Linked DNA regions of Cricetulus griseus. The protein of the gene in region 1 interacts with the protein of each later gene in a pairwise test. Links are inferred from orthologs where the notes say so. Each region holds a gene or a part of one and is shown on either strand. Other genes may lie near its edges.

Region 1 (9,682 bases):
TGGTTCTTATTTATTTTTATTTACTTTGTGTGTTTGAGTATTTTGTTCACATGTATGTCTGTGTACCATGTTCAGTCCTGGTGCCTGTGGAGGTGTAAAGAGGGCACTGGATTCCTAGAACTGGATTTATGGACAGCTGTGAGATGCCATGTGAGTGCTGGGAATTGAACCTGAGTCCTCCACAAGAACAAGTTCTCTTAACTGCTGAGCCATCTCTCCAGCCCTATTTTGGGTTCTTTTTTTAGTTTCCTTTTAGAATAATTTTATTTAATTTGAAAGCTTTCTTTCTTCCTTTTAAAAGCTAGTGGGTATATAGCTGAAGCTGGCCTTGAACTTCCAATCCTCCTATCTCCACCTCTCAGTGTGATTACAGGTGTGTGCCACCATGCTTAGTCTAGGCAATGTTAACGTTCATTGAATTTCAGATATTGTAACAACAAATTCTCTCATTTTTTTGTTTGCCAGAAGATACCATTATTTCCTACCCATTTTTGATGCAATTTTATCTGGCAACAAATTTGAGGTTAACAGTGTTTTTCAGAACTTTAGACTGTGTTCCATGATGTTTGGTTTCCTTTCTTTCTGATGTGAAGTCAGCATTACTTGTTATCTTTGGATTCTATTTGCAATGTGACTGTTTTTGGTAGTTTCTTATGTTATTTATGTATTTGTTTGTTTTGAGACAAGATTTCAGTGTGGACTTTAGCTGGTCTAGAATTCACTATTTAGACTAGGCTCTGAAACTCACAAAGACCTGCCTACCCCTACCTGCCAAGTGCTAGAATTAAAGGGATGTGTCACCAGGCCCAGGTTACATTAGAATGAATGTATATTGTGTGTGAGTATGTGTGTGTGTGTGTGTGTGTGTGTGTGTGTGTGTGTGTGTGTGTGTGTTGTGTGTGTGTGTGTTACACATGTGCATCAGTGTGTGTGCTCAAATGTGTGTGTGCTCTTGTGCATGTGCACCTCACCTCTCTCTCTCTCTCTCTCTCTCTCTCTCTCTCTCTCTCTCGTTTTTATTTTGCAATGTTTTCTGACTTTTGGCAGTAACTAAATGGCTTAAAAGTAAAATACCATGTGGGTGCTGGGAAACCAAAACTCAGGTCCTCTGCAGGAGCAGGGTGCTCCTAACGACTGAGTCACCCCTCCAGTCCTCTTCTTTCTTTTAAGACTTAAATTTCATGTTGTCAAGTACTTGAATTACTTGAAGAGCAGTTTTTCAATGTTATTTGGGTATAATTTAGCCTTATTTCCAAAGTGTGGCTTATCTAGGGTCCCTCTACCATATGCTCTAGGTTTCTAATGAGTTTTTTCCTGGCCTAATTAGTCAGAACTTGAACATTTCCGAACTCCTTTGAAACTCTCGTAGTTGTTTCAGTTTAAACTTTCTAGTAGCTGCTATTTGCCAGTCCCAGAGTTGCTCTTTAAGCCCACACATAGGTCCAAGGGAACCTTCATGTACACTTCTGGTGCTCTTTCTCTGGCATTCTGCTTTCAAATTAAAGCTCTTTTAATCTAGTTTCCATCCCGCCTTACCTTGAGGCTGTAACTGTGCTTCTAGCCTGTGCTTCCATAATTAACCCCAGAAAGCAATCTGGGGAAATCTGGAGGATCAGCCTGTTGGCTTCTTTCTATGAACACAATGTGACTATGCTGGAATTGGAAAATGCCTGCAGGCACTTGTTTCTCAGACATGGTCTTGTTTTCTTTTGATCATGCTTTGAGATTTTGTCTGATAATAGTGGCACATGAGTGTCTGAGTTACTCTTAACACTTTAAAGATATAAACTTTATATACAAAAATTTACATAAATCATAAGCATACAGCTTAAGGAAGTGTTGTTAATAGGTTGCAATGAATAACCAGTGTCTAGATAAAGAAAAACACCAATTTTCTATTTCAAATATTAATAATACCCAAGGCTAACCAACATCCTGCCTTTGATTTTTAAATATTATACAAGTGGAGTCATGTAACATGTGCTTTTGTGTCTGGTTAGTTCACTCTTGGGAGTTGTATATATCTGTGAATTGTTTGCTCTTTTTCCTTAAACTATGTGAATAGTCTGTATCACCTATTTACTCTAAAGACAGCTTTATATATATGAATACGTTTCTGTTGAAAGTATATCTCAGAGTGGAATTCTATGTTAATTCATACTAAGAACTGGCAAATGTATAATTAGTTCAGATCTTCCCTCTGAGCTCTAGGCATACTTATCCAAAACTGCTTGACATTCCCATTTATAGGTCTCTCAAATTTAGCATAGCCTCACACATTTGCTACTCTTTGTGAATCTAAATGGCTTCTTAATCCATCTAGTTACCTAGGAAGCCATCTTTAGTAGTCCTCTTTTTTTTTTACTTGCTCCAGAAAATCTGTCCATTAAGTCCCATGAATTCCTTCTACGATTTATTTATATCTTGAAATTATCCATCTCTTTCTACCTCTACTGCCATTATTCGAGTTCAAGCAACACATTTGTGGTCTTGACCAATACAACTGCCTCCAAAGTGACCCATCAGTAATCCTTCTTGCCCTCCAACAATCTATTCTCCATAAGCAGAGTGAGCTTTAAAATATGTAAATCAGATCCCACTTAACAGTCTTTATTAGCTCCTCATTGATCTTAGAGTATGTTGCTGATTACCGTATGAACTGTATAAAGTAGTCCAAGAGAGTTTAGCCCTTGTCTCATCTCAGCCTAAACTTCTTGTTCCTACATAATCCCTGAGGATTAATTAATAGCTGAGATTATTAATTATTAATTATTAATAGCTGAGATTAAACATGGTGACCAAAAACAACTTGGGAGTGAAAGGAAGTAAGGGCAGGAACTCAAGCCAGGCATCTGGAGGAAGGAACTGAAGTAGAAGCCATGGAGGAGTGCTGCCTATGGGCTTGCTCTCTAAGGCTTGCTCAGCCTGTTTTCTCCTACAACCTAGAACTACTGGCTCTGGTGTAGCACTGCCCTCAGTGGGCTGGGCCCTCCTATAGCAATCACCAATCACAGTACCATCCCACAGACTTGCCCCCAGGCTTTTTTTTTTTTTTTCAGAGGCATTTTCTAAATTAAGATTCCCTCTCCCATCAATGTTAAGCTTTGTATCAAGCTGACAGACAAACCAGCCCACCTTCCTAGGACAATCCAAATTTTCACAAATCATGTTCCTGGACCCAGAACATTCTTTTTTTTTATATTATTTTTCTTTTTTCCTTTTTTTATTAGAAAAAAATTATTTTACATGTCAATCCCAGTTCCCTCTCTCTCCCCTCCTCCCCTCCCCCCCCCACTAATGCCCTACCTATCCCATAGCCTTTCTGCTCACCAGGGAGGGTGAGGCCTTCCATAGGGGTCTTCAAAGTCTGTCATATTCTTTGGGATAGGGCCTAGGCCAACCCCCTTGTGTCTAGGATCAGGGAGTATCCCCCCATGTGGGATGGGCTCCTAAAGTTCATTCCTATGGTAGCCATAAGTACTGATCCACTACAAGAGGTCCCAAGGTCTCCTCACTGACACCCACGTTCAGGGGGTCTGGATCAGTCCCATGCTGGTTTCCCAGCTATCAGTCTGGGGACCAAGAGTTTTCCCTTGTTCAGGCCAGTTGTTTCTGTGGGTTTCACCAGCCTGGTATGGACCCCTTTGCTCATCAGTCCTTCTTCTCTGCTTCTGGATCAGTTCAGTCCAAGGTTTAGCTGTGGGAAGAACAGAAGAGAACAAGATAAGAGATAATATAATAGAAGGAGATATTATAAATTCAAAGAGAAATCAGGCACTAGGGAAATGTCTGGAGGGCTACAAAGATGACACCAGCTAACAATCTAAGCAACAGAGGGGAGGCTACCTTAAATGCCCTCTCCTGATAATGAGATTGATGACTAATTCATATGCCAGCATATAGCCTTCATCCAGCAGTTGGTGGAAATAGAAGCAGACCCAGAACATTCTTAAAGATCCCTTAATATGTCTTGACTTTAAAGGCACTTATTCAGGGAGTTCTTTCCTGACACTCAATTAATTCATCAGTACACCTATTAAGTTTTCTTCTCTGTACCAATCACATAGTATATTTCTGTACCAGTTTTTCTAGTGCCTCTTGCTCCGATTACACCTTAAAAGGAGTGCTGTGAACATTCCTGTATAACATGCTTAACATGCTGCTTGACACTTGATAGGCATTCAGTATACGTTTGTTTAATAATACATGACCTCTAGAAGGCTGGGCGGGAGTAGGGGTGGGGCTACTGGGGCCAGCATGTGTCATTTGTCTGTCTTGGAAAGTTTGTGTAGTGGCTGACGGGGAAAGGTCCTTATCCTGTTCATCAGAGAGAGCTTTTCCTCTGTCCCAAGTGGCGCATGAGAGAAACTGCTTCCAGACACGAAGCAGCAGGTGAAGGAGACTAGCCTTATTTCCCAGGGACAGCCTAATTTTGTCCTCAGGAGACTAGGCATTCTCCTGGTGCAGGTGCATAAGAACCTGCCAATCTCCGCTGGAGGGGGCGGAGATAGGGCGGGCCTCGGAAGGGGGCGTGCCATTGGGTGCTTCCCACGGAACCTGATTGGCCCGAGTGAACTCCGCCCTCACCAGCCACGTTGGACACGGGCAACCCCGCTGGGAGGCCCCTCCCGGCCCCACAATGCACTGCGTGGCGCGTCACTCGGAGCGGCGAGTCCCAGCGCGACAGGTACGGCCCGGCCCCTCTTTTCAGCCTCCTCGGGGTCTCCGGGATCCCTGGCCGGCCGCTCGCGCCGCTCTCGGCGTTCCACCCTGGCCTGACCGGTACTTCCCGAGCCGGAGCTGAGCGGCGGTGGCGGCGGAGTTAGAGGGCTGGTGTGCGGGTCCCGGGTCCCTGAGACCCGGGGCTGTCAGCCGCGCGGGCGGCGGTTGCTGTCTGGCAGGCCTGTCCCGGGATGGGCGGACGCAGTCGGGGCGGCTGACGGGGAGTGCTGGCGCCCCGGGCTGCCAGCGAGCGGACTCACTGCCATAGATGTCAGAAGCACACGGATTCACCCGGGCTTGTAGGTGGCCCGAGAGAGCTTGAGGTGGCTGGCATTCCTAGTTCTTTTTTGGGGCGGGGCAGCTTGTACCAGTGGCGTACCCTGCGATTTGTGGAGTCCGAATGGGCGCTGAGGTTGGAGATCGCCCACGTTGGCTCAGGGAAACCCCTCGAGGCCCTGTCTGATGGTACTTTGCGACACTGTGTGGCAGAAAAAAAAAGACCTGAGTTATTGGCTCCACAAGTGGGGGATCTCCGGAGGGGGCCAAGCTGTAGCTTGCGCGAATCTCTCTCAGTAAAAGCAGCTTAGGACTTGATTGCCTGCTGCTTAGCTTCCGGGATCAGCATCACCTGGAGCAGGTAGAACTCTTCAGAACCAGCCCCTGCTGTGCTTAATTTTGAGCAGAGTCCAGTGTCGGTGGGCCGTGCTACACGTGATAGAATTCCAGCGGATGAACAGAGCAAACATTTTAAAAAATGGAATCAATTTCGGGTTACTGGTACCCACTGGTGTGCCAGCGCTGTGAGCAGTTAGGCGGTATCTTAAACATTACTTAGAACTTACCGTGTGTAGAGGAAGATTCAGAACTGAACCTGACACCCGTGACCATGTCCAAAGTGATTGAGACGTCAGGCTTTTCCCACTTAAGACGATCATGCCAGTTTAGTAACTTTATTTTTAGAGACTGCTTAAAGTTTAAGTATGTTTTAGGTTGATGTATGAAAAAAAAAAAACAAACTCGTGTCAGAGAGATACTTGTGACCTTTCTTTCCGTGTCGATAAGAAGTTAGGGTGTGTTTAGAGGTAATGTTTCATGAAGTTGTTAGAATCAGACCTCCTACTTACTCATCCGTGAGTTGAACAAATGCCTTAAGCTTTTGGGACTTGTGTTTCCTCCAAAGCAAAATGAAACTAATACCTAACCTCAGAGGTTCCTGGAAGGCTCAAATGAGGCGAATGAAGTGCTTGGTCTGTACCTGTCAGTAGTAAGGACAGCAGAACACTTAAAATAGAACTTCGGAGGTTGTGCCAGGTGCTTTTCATAAGCGTAAGACGTAGAGGCTGGTAGTGATCTTAAAAAGAGCCTCATGGAGATAGGGTTTACTCATAGCCATAGTTCCGAGGTGAAGATATTGAGGTTTGGAAAGCAAAGCTTGTCAAGGTAATGTGACAGGTATGTGGTAGAGCCTGGCTTTAAATCTGGGAATATGACTTCTTTGTATTTAATTTATTTATTTTGCACATCCTGTGTGTGCATGTGTATGCCTGTATGTATATTCAAATGTGTGTTGGCACAATGTTGTGTGCAGGTGTATATGAAGGTTGGGTGTTGATGTCCAGTGTCTTCTCTGATTGCCCTCTACTTAATTGAGGCAGGATGTTTTTTGTTTGTTTGTTTTGTTGTTGTTGTTGTTGTTGTTTTAACCTGGAGCTTGCCAATTTCAGTCAGTCCAGCTAGCTGACCTGCCTGGAAGATCCCACCTCTTTTGGATAACCTAGCTTGCCTAGTCTTCACTTAGTTCTAAGGATCTGGACACTAGTCCTCATGATTGCATAGTAATCATGTTTTGCCACTGAGGAATCTCCCCAGCCTGAACTTGACTTTTTAATCACCATACTGTGTTGCCTTTCAAAGAAAATGTCCCTATTTATTGTTATTTTAAAATGATCAGCTGATCCAGGTCTTATGATGCAAGCCTGTAATCCTAGCACTTGGGAGGTGGAGACAGGAGGATCAGGAGTTCAAGGCAAGCCTTTGGCTACATAGTGAGTTCAAACCAGGCTGGGGCTTTGTGAAGCTTTGTCTAAATTGAAAAACATTTAAAACATAGGACTTTTTTTTTCTTTCTTTCTTTTTTTTTTTTTTTTTTTTTTTTTTTTTTTTTTTTTTTTTGCTGCTTGCTGCTTTCCTGGTTACAGCACAGCGATGGAGATTTGTGAGGCACTTAGGCTTAAGTATCAGTCCTGCCGTATATTAGAGGTGAAGTTGAGCAAATGTCAGTTTTCTTATCTATGAAATGGAAGTTATACTTACCTCTCTGAACTGTATGGCACTGACATCTGCACATATGTTAGGACCCCTGTCTCTAATAGTGTGTATATTCTGTTGTGGAGCTTGAGGTTTTACACATAGTGTTTAGTGCAGGTGCCCACAATAGAAGCAAGCAGTAAGGACAGCTAATGAGGAAGACAGTACTGGCAAAACATCACAATAAATTCTGATAGTCCTTGGTACTCCTTTCTTTTCATTCAATCTTCCAGTCTGAGCATTGCAATTAATATGGTCAACTAAGTTCAATCAGTCTGACTCCACCCTTTGCACTCACTTATAATTCTCACAGAGTTCAGGATTATTAAGTTAACTAAATATGTAGCAAGTTAGTTTTTCCAAATTTTGGTGCTATCATTAATGTAAAATGATTTGGTGAGCTGAGGATCATTTTAAAAAAGCAAGCCACCAAAATATTTAATATGCATGTAAACAAAACAAAATTTTACTTATTTTAACTTAGATTTAGGGAAAAAAAACCCTAATGTCTCAAACTGATTTTGTAGACATTGTTGTTAAAAATATAGGATAGCCAGTTGAGAGACTGGTATTTGGTAAATAAGAAATAGTACAGGAGAGATCCAGATAAGCATCCTGAAAGTGGTACTTGAGTGCTAAAGCTTGGAATGTGATTAACTCAAATAAAAGATGAGTGACCCCAGCATAAAACATCTGTAGAAAACTTTTCTATTTAAATTTCACTACCTTTTTAGAAATATCCCTTGACACTTTGAGCCCAAGATCATTGCCTGACAGCCTTCTGAAGGAGAGGGGTCAACTTGAGAGGTTGGTAAGTGTCCCCTTAATTGATGTTTGGGGACTTTCCTTAGTGTTTGCAGCTCTGCCTAGATTCTAATTTGGACTCTTCTCTCTATAATTGCTGCTGGGAGGAAATGCCGAGCACTCCTTGGACTTTCTGTGAGGTTTCTGTTATCTAAAGACAACTCTAATGTTTTCTTTTTTAAGTGAAGGAAAGAGGAACCATGTCTGAAAAATGCATTTGGTCCTGGTAGGAAAAATCTGTTGTCCTTTCCAAAGCTTCCCTCTTCTTTCTTTGGTTCTGTTCTCTTCCTAGATTTTCTCAGACCACACTGCCTAGCTCTGCTTTCATAGAGGCACATTCCTGTTTTTTTTTTTTTTTCTGTTTACTTTTTAAATATACTCCCTTAAGAATCCCAAGTAAAACTTTTAAAAAGTGTGGTATGATCAGTTGAAAGAGACTGTTTATCCTAAGGTGATTAAAACTTCATTGTCCGTTGGATATTTATCCTAGTTGTTTTTTCTTTCTTGTTTCTTACTCCTTATTCTTGCTGTTCTTGTTCTTCTTGGTGTTCTTTTCCTCGTTAATTTGTTTGGATGATAAATCATTAGTTTACTCTGGGTAAGGGGAGTGAGAGTTAACTTTTTCTCCATAGAAAAATTTTTTTTATTACTGATAAGTAGAAACAACCCTCTGACAGTCTGACAGCCTTTTAGGACTTTGACAGCAGTGTTATGCTTCTGTTTACTAAAAATATATTTCTTTTTCTTTCTTTCGTTTCCTTTTTTTTTTTTTTTAAGAAATCTCTGAATACATGTTTGTCTAAAAAATTTTAAGACAGGGCTTTGGGATATAGCCTTGTCTGGCCTTCAACTCATGATCCCCCTTTTTCTGCCCTCCTAAGTGATAAGATTATAGTTATGTGTCACTTTATCTGGTAAAATAGGTTTTATCCTGCTTCAAATATTTTTAACTTATCACATCAGGATTTTATCACATTATTAAACCTTTTCTTTTTAGAAAGCTTTGAGTTGCTGCATTTTATTATGTCATATGGACAAACTATAATTTATTTATTTATTTATTTATTTATTTTTTTATTTATTTTGGTTTTTCGAGACAGGATTTCTCTGTGGTTTTGGAGGCTTTCCTGGAACTAGCTCTTGTAGACCAGGCTGGTCTTGCACTCACAGAGATCCGCCTGCCTCTGCCTCTGCCTCCCGAGTGCTGGGATTAAAGGCATGCATCACCAACGCCTGGCAATAATTTATTTACTTAATTGTCATCGTATGTTGGATTTTTAGATTATTTTAATTTGATTGTAAGGGTATACCTCTAAATTTTTATCTGGATTTATGATTATTTTCCTTGGGGTAAGGTTAATTTAAATTTACTACTGAACATAGTGGTATACACCTCTGGAGTCTGAGTCAGGAGGCTTATTCTGAGTTCGAGGCCAGCCTGGGCTACATAGTGAGTTCTAGGCCAGCCAGGGCTACATAGCAAGACAATGTCTCTAAATCAATCACCAATAATTACTATTAATGCTTTCCTTTTTAATTCTCAAATTTATTTTATTTTTTAATTTATTCTGTGAGAATTTATTTGACTATATTCTTTCCCTGCCCCCCTACTTTTCCTAGGTCTTCCCCCATTTTATTACCCACCCATCTTCATGTTCTCTGTCTCTTCTCTCTCTGTCTTTCTCTTTGAGATAATGTTTCTCTGTGGAACCCCGACTGACCTGGAACTCCATCTATAGTCCAGGGTGGCTTCAAATTCAGAGATCTGCCTCCTGAGTGCTGGGATTAATGGCATGTACCACTACACTGACTTCTTTCTCTCTCAAAAAACAAAAAAGCACTAAAACCA
Region 2 (9,608 bases), on another chromosome or scaffold:
TGCAGGCTGGGATACTCCTGCCTTTTGACACTCACTGGCCTCTGCTGGTCCAGTTGCCCATGCTGCCTTGTGCATGCCAGCTTGAGGGAAAGGAGCAAGGAGGGGTAGGGAGGATGGCTGGGGCAGCTGGACAACCATCCCCACTCGTCCCTGGCACGGCTTTGCCCAGCACACAAAGGGCAGAGTGAATCTTGTCCTGGATCGTGCAGCTGAGGGGCTGGGAGCAGGAAAGGGATAGTGGCCACTGTAAGGTTTTCCACTGCGCGCAGTTTTACAGAGGGCAACCCAGAGACAAGGGGGAGGAGTTTGGATCATAGGCTTAGCTAGTGAGAGGCACCCTGTGGATGAAGTAGATGATAGTGATGACGGTTGGCCTTTCATATCCAGGAAGTCATTGCAGTGTCAGGACAGCTTAGTGAGGGGGAGAAGGCAGGTGGTAGTAGTCCCATTTCAGAACACAGTAAAGTTTAGAAAAGCTCTGTGGGTTCCAGAGCTTCCAGGGAGAACACAGACCTCGGGTACCAAAGGACTCCTTGTGTTGGGTAACTGTCTTGTGGTTGCATATCATCACATGTGGGGCAGTGTGCATGCTCCTTCCCCTGTGACAGGTTCACAAAAGGCAGGGTGACAACCTTCCTCCCACCTTTCATAGTTGATTCCAGTTAACATTATGTGTGCTAAATGGAATAAACTTGGGGGGGGCAATGAAAGGATTTCAGAATCTGGAGCTAGGATAGAGGGGTCACAGAGCAGATGCCATTGACTCTTGGCCTTTAAGGGTGAATGGTAGTCACAGTGAGGACTAGCTTCAGTGAAAGCAAATAAAGAATGCTGTACCCCAGGGCTGGCCTAGAGGGCAAGGTTGAGGGCTGTGTCTGCCCAATTGAAGAGACAGCTTCCCTCTTTCCCCAATCCCTCTCTCCATACCCATCCTCTCTTCCTCACCAAGGAACCCAAGACTCCTACCAGGTATTGAGAAACATCTGAAATTTCTGACAGCAGCTTCTCCCAGTCCCCAAACAGACAGATCAAGTTGTTGCTGTTGTTTTAAAGTCGCAATGCTACGAGAACCCAGCCTAAGGGCAGCCTGCAGGGGAGACTGAGGACCTGAGAGAGAACAGAGTGGTTCTCTCCACACTTAGTGATGATGACAAGCCCCAGCTGTAGCTCCTGTTCGGAATAAGTACCACAAACTGGACACTGCGGCCCCCCGAGATGCCCAAAGGGACCCCGAGATGCCTGCAGTTCTTGGCTCTCCTGCTGGCCTGCTGCCCACCTGGCTCAGGCCCAGTGTGTGTGAGTCAGCCATCAATCTCGAGGTTTCCAGGACAACCCAGGGTAGGAGTGGGAGCCTGGGGGATGGGCAGGGAGGTGGGCAGTGCAGGCCAGCTGTCTTTTACGTCTGTCACCTGCACACAACCAAGGGGAGAGGACACTGGCTTTGCCCTCTCTTCCTTCCCTCAGCCCTTCCCTTCTTCCACTCATGCTAAGACACTTTGCTGAGCGGTGGGAGGCTTAGGCAAATATTTAAGGAGGCAGTTAGAGGGGCGAGGAGGATGGTAGGAGCAAACATTTCCTTCCTTCTCCTCTCCACTAAGTGCTCAGGAGCTCTCATCTCAAATGCTATGCTGTTGTATAACCTTGAGACTGAGGCCCTGCAGCTGGGGAGGGATCCTTGGGGGGCAGGGGCAGTTGCCAGGGCTGGAGAGAAAGGGGCCTGCTCATGATCAAAGGCAAGGGCAAGGCGCTAAGGAGCCTGGGGCATAGGCTAGGAAGGAATGATATTTCAAAGTCCAGTACAGCTGGCTGTCTACATCTCTAGGTTTGGCCTTCACTAATTCAACAGTAGATGGGACTGAGCATGGTGGCACATACCTGAAATCTTGCACTCAGGAAGCTAAGCCAAGAGGATGGCCACCAGTTCCAGGCCCACTTGGGTAGAAAATAAGGCTGTCTCAAAATAACAAGGGACTGGAGAGATGGCTCTTGCAGAGGGTCAGAGTTCAGTTCCCCACACCCAAGTCAGGCAGTTTACAACTGTCTGTGACTCCATGACCAGGGAATCTGACTCATTCTTATGGCTTCCAAGGCACTGCATGTACATGGTGAACAGATAAGTATGCAAGCAAAACATAAATCTCAAAGACAATTTCTTTTTTAAAAGATTTAATCTTTATCATTATTATTATTATTATTTTATGTGCCTTGGTGTTTTGCCTGCATGTCTGTGTTAGGGTGTCAGATCCTCTGGAATGGGAGTTACAGACAGTTATGAGCTGTCATGTGGGTGCTGGGAATTGAACCCAGGTCCTCAGGGAGAACATCCAGTGTTCTTGTCCACTGAGCTATCTCTCAAGCCCCTAAAAAACAATTTCTTTGGAAAGATTTAAACATTTTCCATATTTTTAGTTTTGATACTGTATATGGATGTTTCCAAGGCTGACCATTTGGCACTGGAAAACAAACTGGTGTGCTCTTCCCTGGGGAAGGCCATCTCTATGAACCCCCCCTGCCCCAGCTTTCCTCAGTTGCCTGTAGTTCTTTGCGTAGGACAGAGGTCTTGTGGGCTTTTCCCATCTAGTTTGGTACATTTGTTGGTGTAATCCTTGTTCAATTCACGTTTGGGTGGTGATGCTGGTGAGACTATGTGTGTAGCATCTGATGTTTCTAGGAAACAAAGTCTCACAGCAAATTCCCTGATCGTGATTCTCTGGTCCTTACAAGCCTTCTGTCTCTTCTTCTGCAATGTCCTTGAGCATTATGTGTGACGTGTTTTTGTAGATGTATCCGTGGGGATCAGGCTCCACGACTCTGCATTCTGATTGGTTGTGGTTTTCTGTAGCAGTCTCTATCTGTTGTAAAGAGAAGTTTCCTTGATGAGGGGTGAGGACTACACTTATCTTCGGTGTAAGGACAATGTTTATAGAGTGTTATTGGGATTATGCTGGTTTGGTAAGTTAGCGGTTGTAGATTCTCCTCCAATAATTATGACTTCACTAGCACTGAGTAGTTAGCTAGGTTTCCAGTACTAGGCATGGATTCTGTCTTGCTGATGGGGTCTGCAAGTAGAGAGCTGTTGGCTACTCAAAGGCAGTTTTTAAAGAGTATGTGAGAATATGCATATGTATGTAACTTCTTCTTCTTCTTCTTCTTCTTCTTCTTCTTCTTCTTCTTCTTCTTCTTCTTGTTTTTTTTTTTTTTCTGCTTTTTTGAGACAGGATTTCTTTGTGTAGCTTTGTAGACCAGGTTGACTCAAACTCACAGAGATCCTTCTGCCTCCCAAATGCTGGGATTAAAGTGTGCGCCTCCACTGCCTGGTTGTTGTATGTAACTTCTATAGTCTAATTTGTATAAGGGACTTGCATGCCTGTGGATTTGGCGTGTCCATGAGGAGTCCTAAAAACAATCTGGAGATATTAAGGGGCAGCTTTGTAGGAGAACAAGGGTGCCAGGTCAATACAAGGAAGTACTAGGCTCCAGCTTACACATTCATAAAAGTTGAGAGGTGCAAAGATGTTTCAAGTCCACCTGGCCAGCAACTGAAAGGGAACCGGATGGGCTAGAGAGAAGGTTCAGTGGTTACAAGCATTGGCTACTCTTTCACAGCATCCAAGTTTGATACCTAGTACCCACATGGAAGCTCACAACTCTCTGTGACTCCAGCCCCTGTGGGTCCCATGTCCTTTTCTGGCCTCCAAGAGTACCAGGCATGCAGGTGGTGCACAGGCAAAACACCCATACCCATAAAATAAAAATAAATAAATCTTTAAAAGGGAATTGAAGGCATGTAGCCAAGGCCAAGTTGAAAGGGTGCAACCAATCCGAAGTCACTGGTAGATGTGACTGACTTAGTACCCCAAGCAACAGGAGAGAATTTGGGGAAAGAGAGAAGGGAGGGAGAGAGGAGAAGGAGGAAGTCATGAAAGTGAATGGGATTTGGTTAAATCACATTGGGCAAATTTAGACGATATAAACAGGAGGTCAGAAGGGTAGATAGAATGGTCGAAGGGCAGAGGTGGCTGATTGGGACCACACTCAGCCCTGTGCAAGGTCATCTTGGCTTGAGAAAATGTCTGGGGATGTAGCTCAGTGGAAAACGGCTTCCCAAGCATGCTCATGACCTTAAGTTTGATCCTCAGCACTGGAAGGCAAAAACTAAGGCCTGGAATAGTCGTCAGAGCATTCAACTTACAGACAGGCCCGGGGCAAGGAGTGAAACAGGACTTATCCCCCAGTAAGAGGTTTGCAGCTGTGAGGAAAGGGTTTCCAGAGTAAGAAAAATGACTGGAGCAAATCCGAGGTTAGAGACAGCAGGTGTGGGAAGCAGGATAAAGAGGAACCGACCCTGTCTCAGAAACCACACTAATGGATCCCCAGTTTTGTTCCAAGCCCTGTTCCTCCAGTAGACACCTCTCCACCCCCATCAATAATCACCACTTTCTTAGTCCCTGATGGAACTCATGTCTGAGCCTGGGGGAGGTTATCTGGTAGAAAGGGATGGCCAGATTCTTGGCTACCACAGGAAAGGTTTGGCCTGTCAAACGAAGAGAAGCCACAGGGCTGCAGGGGCAGGTGCCAGCAAGAGAGGCAGACATGCCAGAAAGACACCCACGGTGAGAGGAGCAGGTGGCCTGAGGGTGAGTTTGCTCACCTCACCCAGGTTTGCTCTTGTTGGGGCCAAGAGGATTCATGTGCCTAGGCCAAGAGCCCTTGGGGGCTCTTGCAGCTGGCTTATCAGGGCCTAGGCTGTGAAAAACCTGGAATAAACAAGCTTCAAAGCCAAGGACTTGGCTGGCAGACAGAAGACCTGGTCCTTCACCTCTGTCCCCTCTCTCTCTGATGATATATATAGGACACTGGCCACACTAGAGAGATGAGAAGAGAAGAAAGCCTACAAAATGGATGTGGGTAGCAAAGAGGTCTTGATGGAGAGTCCACCGGTGAGTGTGGTTTTGTGTGTGTGTGTGTGTGTGTGTGTGTGTGTGTGTGTGTGTGTGTGTGTGTATTTACATAAGTGTACTGGACTTGCCTGCTCCATTCTCCATAGGATTTTTTTCTTCAATTAGTTTAGGATTAGGCTGTTAGGATGGAGACACCATGATCATTAAGAGTCCCTGGAAGAGGCAGGCATGGCAGCCATGAATTTCTGTATAAAGGGGTTGAGAACCACCGTAGGGGTCAATAGAAAGGCCTGTGAAAAACACTGCTAGAGTCACCAAGTAATTAGGAGGTCACAGAGAAAATGGCATGTGAGGCTGGGATGGAGTTCAGTGGGAAGAGTGCACTGCAATCAAAGGCCCTTGGGTTCAGTCCCCAGGACCCCATAAGTCAGGCATGGGGTCCACACCATTTGGAAGTGTAAGCAAGACAATCATTCAGGGTTATCTTTAGATATGTAAGGAGGTGGAAGGCAGCCTGGGTCTCAAAAAAAAAAAAAAAAAAAAAAAAAAAAAAAAAAAAAAAAAGGAGAAGGATGGCTCCTCAGATAGGCGTGAAGATGACACATGAAATTGCCTAGGAAGAATATGCAGGCACCCACAAGGCAAAGGAGGAAGGCATACAAGGAAGAAAGGGACTCTACATAAAGATATGGAGATGGTGCTACCTGGATCCTTGGGGAGGGGGAAGGGCACAAAAATGCTGGCTATGTCTGAGGTGCCAAGAGTCTTGGGAAAACAGAACATACGATTACTAACTGGCTCTCTTGGATCCTTCCAAACCTAGATTTTGCCTCTAACTTCCTAAGTTTCTGTGGGTTTGTTTGAATCCGACCACCTTCCCAAAAGCCTCTGGTCTCCCCAGCGCTCCTCTGCATATTCATAGCCTAACGGGGTATGAGCGTGCATCTGGTTGGTTCAGGGAGAGGAATGGGCATCCTCTCAACTGCCTGCTTGTCTCTCTGCTCCCCCCCCCCCCCCCCCCGCTTCTTCAGGACTACTCAGCAGGTCCCAGGAGCCAGTTCCGCATCCCCTGCTGCCCCGTGCATCTCAAACGCCTTCTCATCGTGGTTGTGGTGGTGGTCCTTGTTGTCGTGGTGATTGTAGGGGCCCTGCTCATGGGCCTTCACATGAGTCAAAAACATACTGAGATGGTGAGCAGGCCTGGGTTGAGCAAAGAGTAGCAGCGATGAATGTCAGACAGAGGAAGTTTGCTGGGGTGGGCAAACAAGAGCGTATCTTGAGTGATACAAGCAGAGATGGGGTAGCAGACCAGCATAGATGGTTTTTCCCCAGGCCCTGGCCTACAGTGTGATAACCACCAGTCCCTCCAACACCAGTGATCTTTAGCCTTCCTGAGATCTCAGGAAAGAGGGAATTGCGTTCCAACAGAGGGCTCTGGGTAGATATGGGTACCAAAGGGCTGAGAAAAGAAAGAGGAATGCCAGGCAGCACTCTGACAGCCTCTCCCTAGGTCCTTGAAATGAGCATCGGAGCACCGGAAACTCAGAAACGCCTAGCCCTGAGTGAGCACATGGACACCATTGCTACCTTCTCCGTTGGTTCCACTGGCATTGTTGTGTATGACTACCAGCGAGTGAGTATGCCTGAGGGACCAATATGACTTTACTGGAACTGTCTAGTTGTACCACCTCTTTCCAGAGGTCTCTCTCCATTCTGTGCCTGGCTGCTTCCCCTCGGATGCTGGAGTCTCGGACTCAGATGTGTCTCCCATGGCCAATCTAAAGGGAGTTGGCTGAGAATCAGGGTTGGGGAGTGAGCAAGGCAAGGGACCTTCCTGAATGACCTCCCGTGTTACATGCCTAGCTCCTGACTGCCTATAAGCCAGCCCCGGGTACCTACTGCTACATCATGAAGATGGATCCAGGGAGCATCCCCAGTCTTGAGGCTTTTACTAGAAAATTCCAGAACTTCAAGGTGGGTGTGTGAGTAAAGGGAGTGAGCTGTCTCCCTCCAAGGGTTGGGGAGAGGAATATTTGAAATGATGGCTAGTGCCATCTGCATGGTATTGATTCTCCTGGGCCAGATGTGTTCTCTCTGCACTCACCTGTGTTACACCTATCCCAGCTGTCAGCTGGCCTGCTGCTAAGTTGTTGGCTTGGCTGAGCTCAGACACCACCTGTGTGCTTCTGATTTCAGCCTAGTCCCTCTGTATCGGTGAGGAAACTGAGCCTCGAGAATTTGCCTGGCTAGCCTAGTGTCCCACAATAAGGACTGCAGGTGAGATTGAACATATGTGTTCTTTCCAGGCCAAGCCCTCGGCGTCCACCCCTAAGCTGGGTCAGGAGGAAGGGCATGGCATTGGTTCTGAGTCTTCCGGGAGAGACCTGGCATTCCTAGGCCTTGCTGTGAGCACCTTGTGTGGAGAGCTACCACTGTACTATATCTAGGACCCCCTCAGGTGAGCAAGGGTACCTTTGATGGTGCCTGCACAACGTTGGGAAGGCTTGGGCTTCGGGCTTTGTCAGCAAACCTACTAGGGTTCTCCTGAAGTCAGTGGTCTGGGGACGGCAGAGGATGGCAGGCTCACAGACAGCCCACATTGGAATCAAGCGAGTGGCTCCCTAGGTTCCCCCCCCCCCCGCCCTTCACGTGATAAACATCAGTTCTTTGCTTCACAGGGTCGGTGGTAACCGCATGGGGACAGGAAAGACCCGCACGCAGAGAAGGGTCTCTTGCAGACAAGCAGGAAGCTGCTCCTGTTCTTGCTCGACCCGACAGAGTAGAAGCCAGTAGAGGAGAGGGGTCTCCTACAGGCCAGGGGGTCTCCTACCACAAAGCAATAAAGCAGCCTGATTGAAAAACAAAGGGTGGCATGTCTTTTCTTCCACATTTTCAGTTTCGCTCCTGGCGGGAGCCGTCCTTGGAAGGAGAGGGTTTGGGGGAGTTGGGACGCTTTGCCACATCCTTTCTGTCTAAGAGTGATGGGGATTTGGTTCTACCCCAGGTAGTGGGGAAGGGGGCAAAAGGCGGGGATAGGGGACGGGACCTAGGTGCCATACACGGGTGTTAGGCGCCCTCCAGCGGTGTGTCCACAGGGAAGGACAGCGACAGAGACAGGCAGAGAGACAGTGAGACAGAGACAGCGAGAAGCAAGAGAGCAGGTCTCAGACAGACTGGTGTCTCAGGCTGAGAGAAAGACCGCTGATCCAGGGATTGAGAGGCAGGAACGGACCTGACAGCGTGTCCCGTGCGGGGAGGTACTCCGCCCCGTGCGGGACAGCGGCCACTAGGGGGCCCCTCGCGGGAGCGGTGCCTCCGGGCATCCCGGGCCCGCGCCCCCTCCCCGGCCCCGGCCCCAGGCAGCCGATCCCCCTCCGGGGCGGGCGGCGCTACTCTCGCCCTCCCCGCCCGGCTGGCGCGCTTCCCGGCCCGGCCGAGCACGGTCCCGGCCCCGAGGGGGGCCGAGCTGGGCGAAAACCCGCCCTCCAGCGAGCTCATTTCCCTAAAAGGGGGGGGGGGGAGTGGGAGGACGGCGGAAAAAAAAAAGAAAGGGAGAGACCGAGCCGAGGGCGAGGGGACGCCGGAGCCCAGGGCCGGAGCGAGCCGGGCCGAGCGGGGGGCGGGAGACAGGAAACGGGACGGGAAGAGGTGGCCGCGGGGGGAGAGCACCTCCCCTTCGCCTCCAGCGCTCCCTTCCCCGTCGCCCCGCTCCCGCGTCCGGGCGCGACCGCCACCGCTGCCCGCCAGCATGCCCGGCGTGGCCCGCCCGCCGCTGCCGCTGCTGTCGCTGCCGCTGCTACTGCTGCTGCTGCTGCTCCCGCGCGCCGGGCGGCCGCTGGACTTGGCCGACTACACCTACGACCTGGGCGAGGAGGACGCCCCGGAGCTCCTCAACTACAAAGACCCCTGCAAGGCGGGTGAGCGACCCCCGGCTTCCAGGGGCGCACGGGAGCCGGGCGTGAGCAGGCCGGGATCGAGGTTGCGAGCCGGGCAGGGGTTGGGGTTGGGGTTGGGGGAGGACAGTCCAGTGTGGGAAGCTGGGAGCTGCTTGGTTGGCAATGCAGTGGGGGAACAAAAGACCGAGGGAGAAAGGGAGGGGGAAGTTTGGGGGACTTTTAGGACTGAAGTTTTGCTGCTGTTTGTGGAAACTGCTGCGGCTGCCGCTTGCCGCTTGCCTTCGAAGAGGATTCCTGGGGAAATCTCCCTGGGTCTTAGCGAATCCCGCTGGCAAGGAGGCTTTTTCTCCACAGGGAAACTTTACTGGCCAAACTCCGTGTGTGAGTGAGCGTGTGTGTGAGTGTGTGTGTGTACTTTTCCCTTCTCTCCTAACCCTCTGCTTTATGGGTTATTGGTGTTTGCCCGCTTGTCTGTTTGCCATAGTGCTACACATCTGTCTGGTTTGATGCCCAGAAGGCCTGCAGCTCCAAAGGAATAGATTTCCCGGATACTCAGCCCAGTGGAAGGAGAAAGTTTTTTTCAGGGGGTTCCATGAGATACTCCTTCGTGGACAATCCTGTGACTCCAACCAGATGCAGCAGCTCTCCTGGCACCCAAAAGACAGCTGTCAGAGTCAGAGAAATCGGGCTGGGAGAGAACTTACCTGTGCCCCTGAGTGCTAGGAGAGCTCTGCCAGAGCCAAATTGGGATAGCAAATGAGCCACACAAAGAGAACTTGGATAGTCTACCTCAGGTCTCTCACCCCACAGA

What was found. The genes of interacting proteins can lie anywhere in the genome.
Region 2: the proteins of Sec22a (region 1) and Sftpc interact in binary tests that used the Homo sapiens proteins (3 or more experiments, as listed by UniProt). The two-hybrid records come from large-scale screens. The link is inferred for Cricetulus griseus from reciprocal best matches to the Homo sapiens genes SEC22A and SFTPC.

What each region holds. Positions count from the first base shown.
Region 1 is NC_048597.1:54,277,279-54,286,960, forward strand, and holds the start of Sec22a (vesicle-trafficking protein SEC22a), read left to right. Parts: upstream 1-4,572; 5' UTR 4,573-4,687; intron 4,688-4,910; exon of another isoform or gene 4,911-5,045; intron 5,046-7,763; exon of another isoform or gene 7,764-7,840; intron 7,841-9,682. UniProt on the Homo sapiens protein: May be involved in vesicle transport between the ER and the Golgi complex.
Region 2 is NW_023276807.1:225,163,612-225,173,219, reverse strand, and holds Sftpc (pulmonary surfactant-associated protein C), read left to right. Parts: upstream 1-4,898; coding exon 4,899-4,940; intron 4,941-5,932; coding exon 5,933-6,091; intron 6,092-6,411; coding exon 6,412-6,534; intron 6,535-6,764; coding exon 6,765-6,875; intron 6,876-7,183; coding exon 7,184-7,348; downstream 7,349-9,608. Other genes in the region: Bmp1 (bone morphogenetic protein 1), read left to right, coding at 8,650-8,818. UniProt on the Homo sapiens protein: Pulmonary surfactant associated proteins promote alveolar stability by lowering the surface tension at the air-liquid interface in the peripheral air spaces.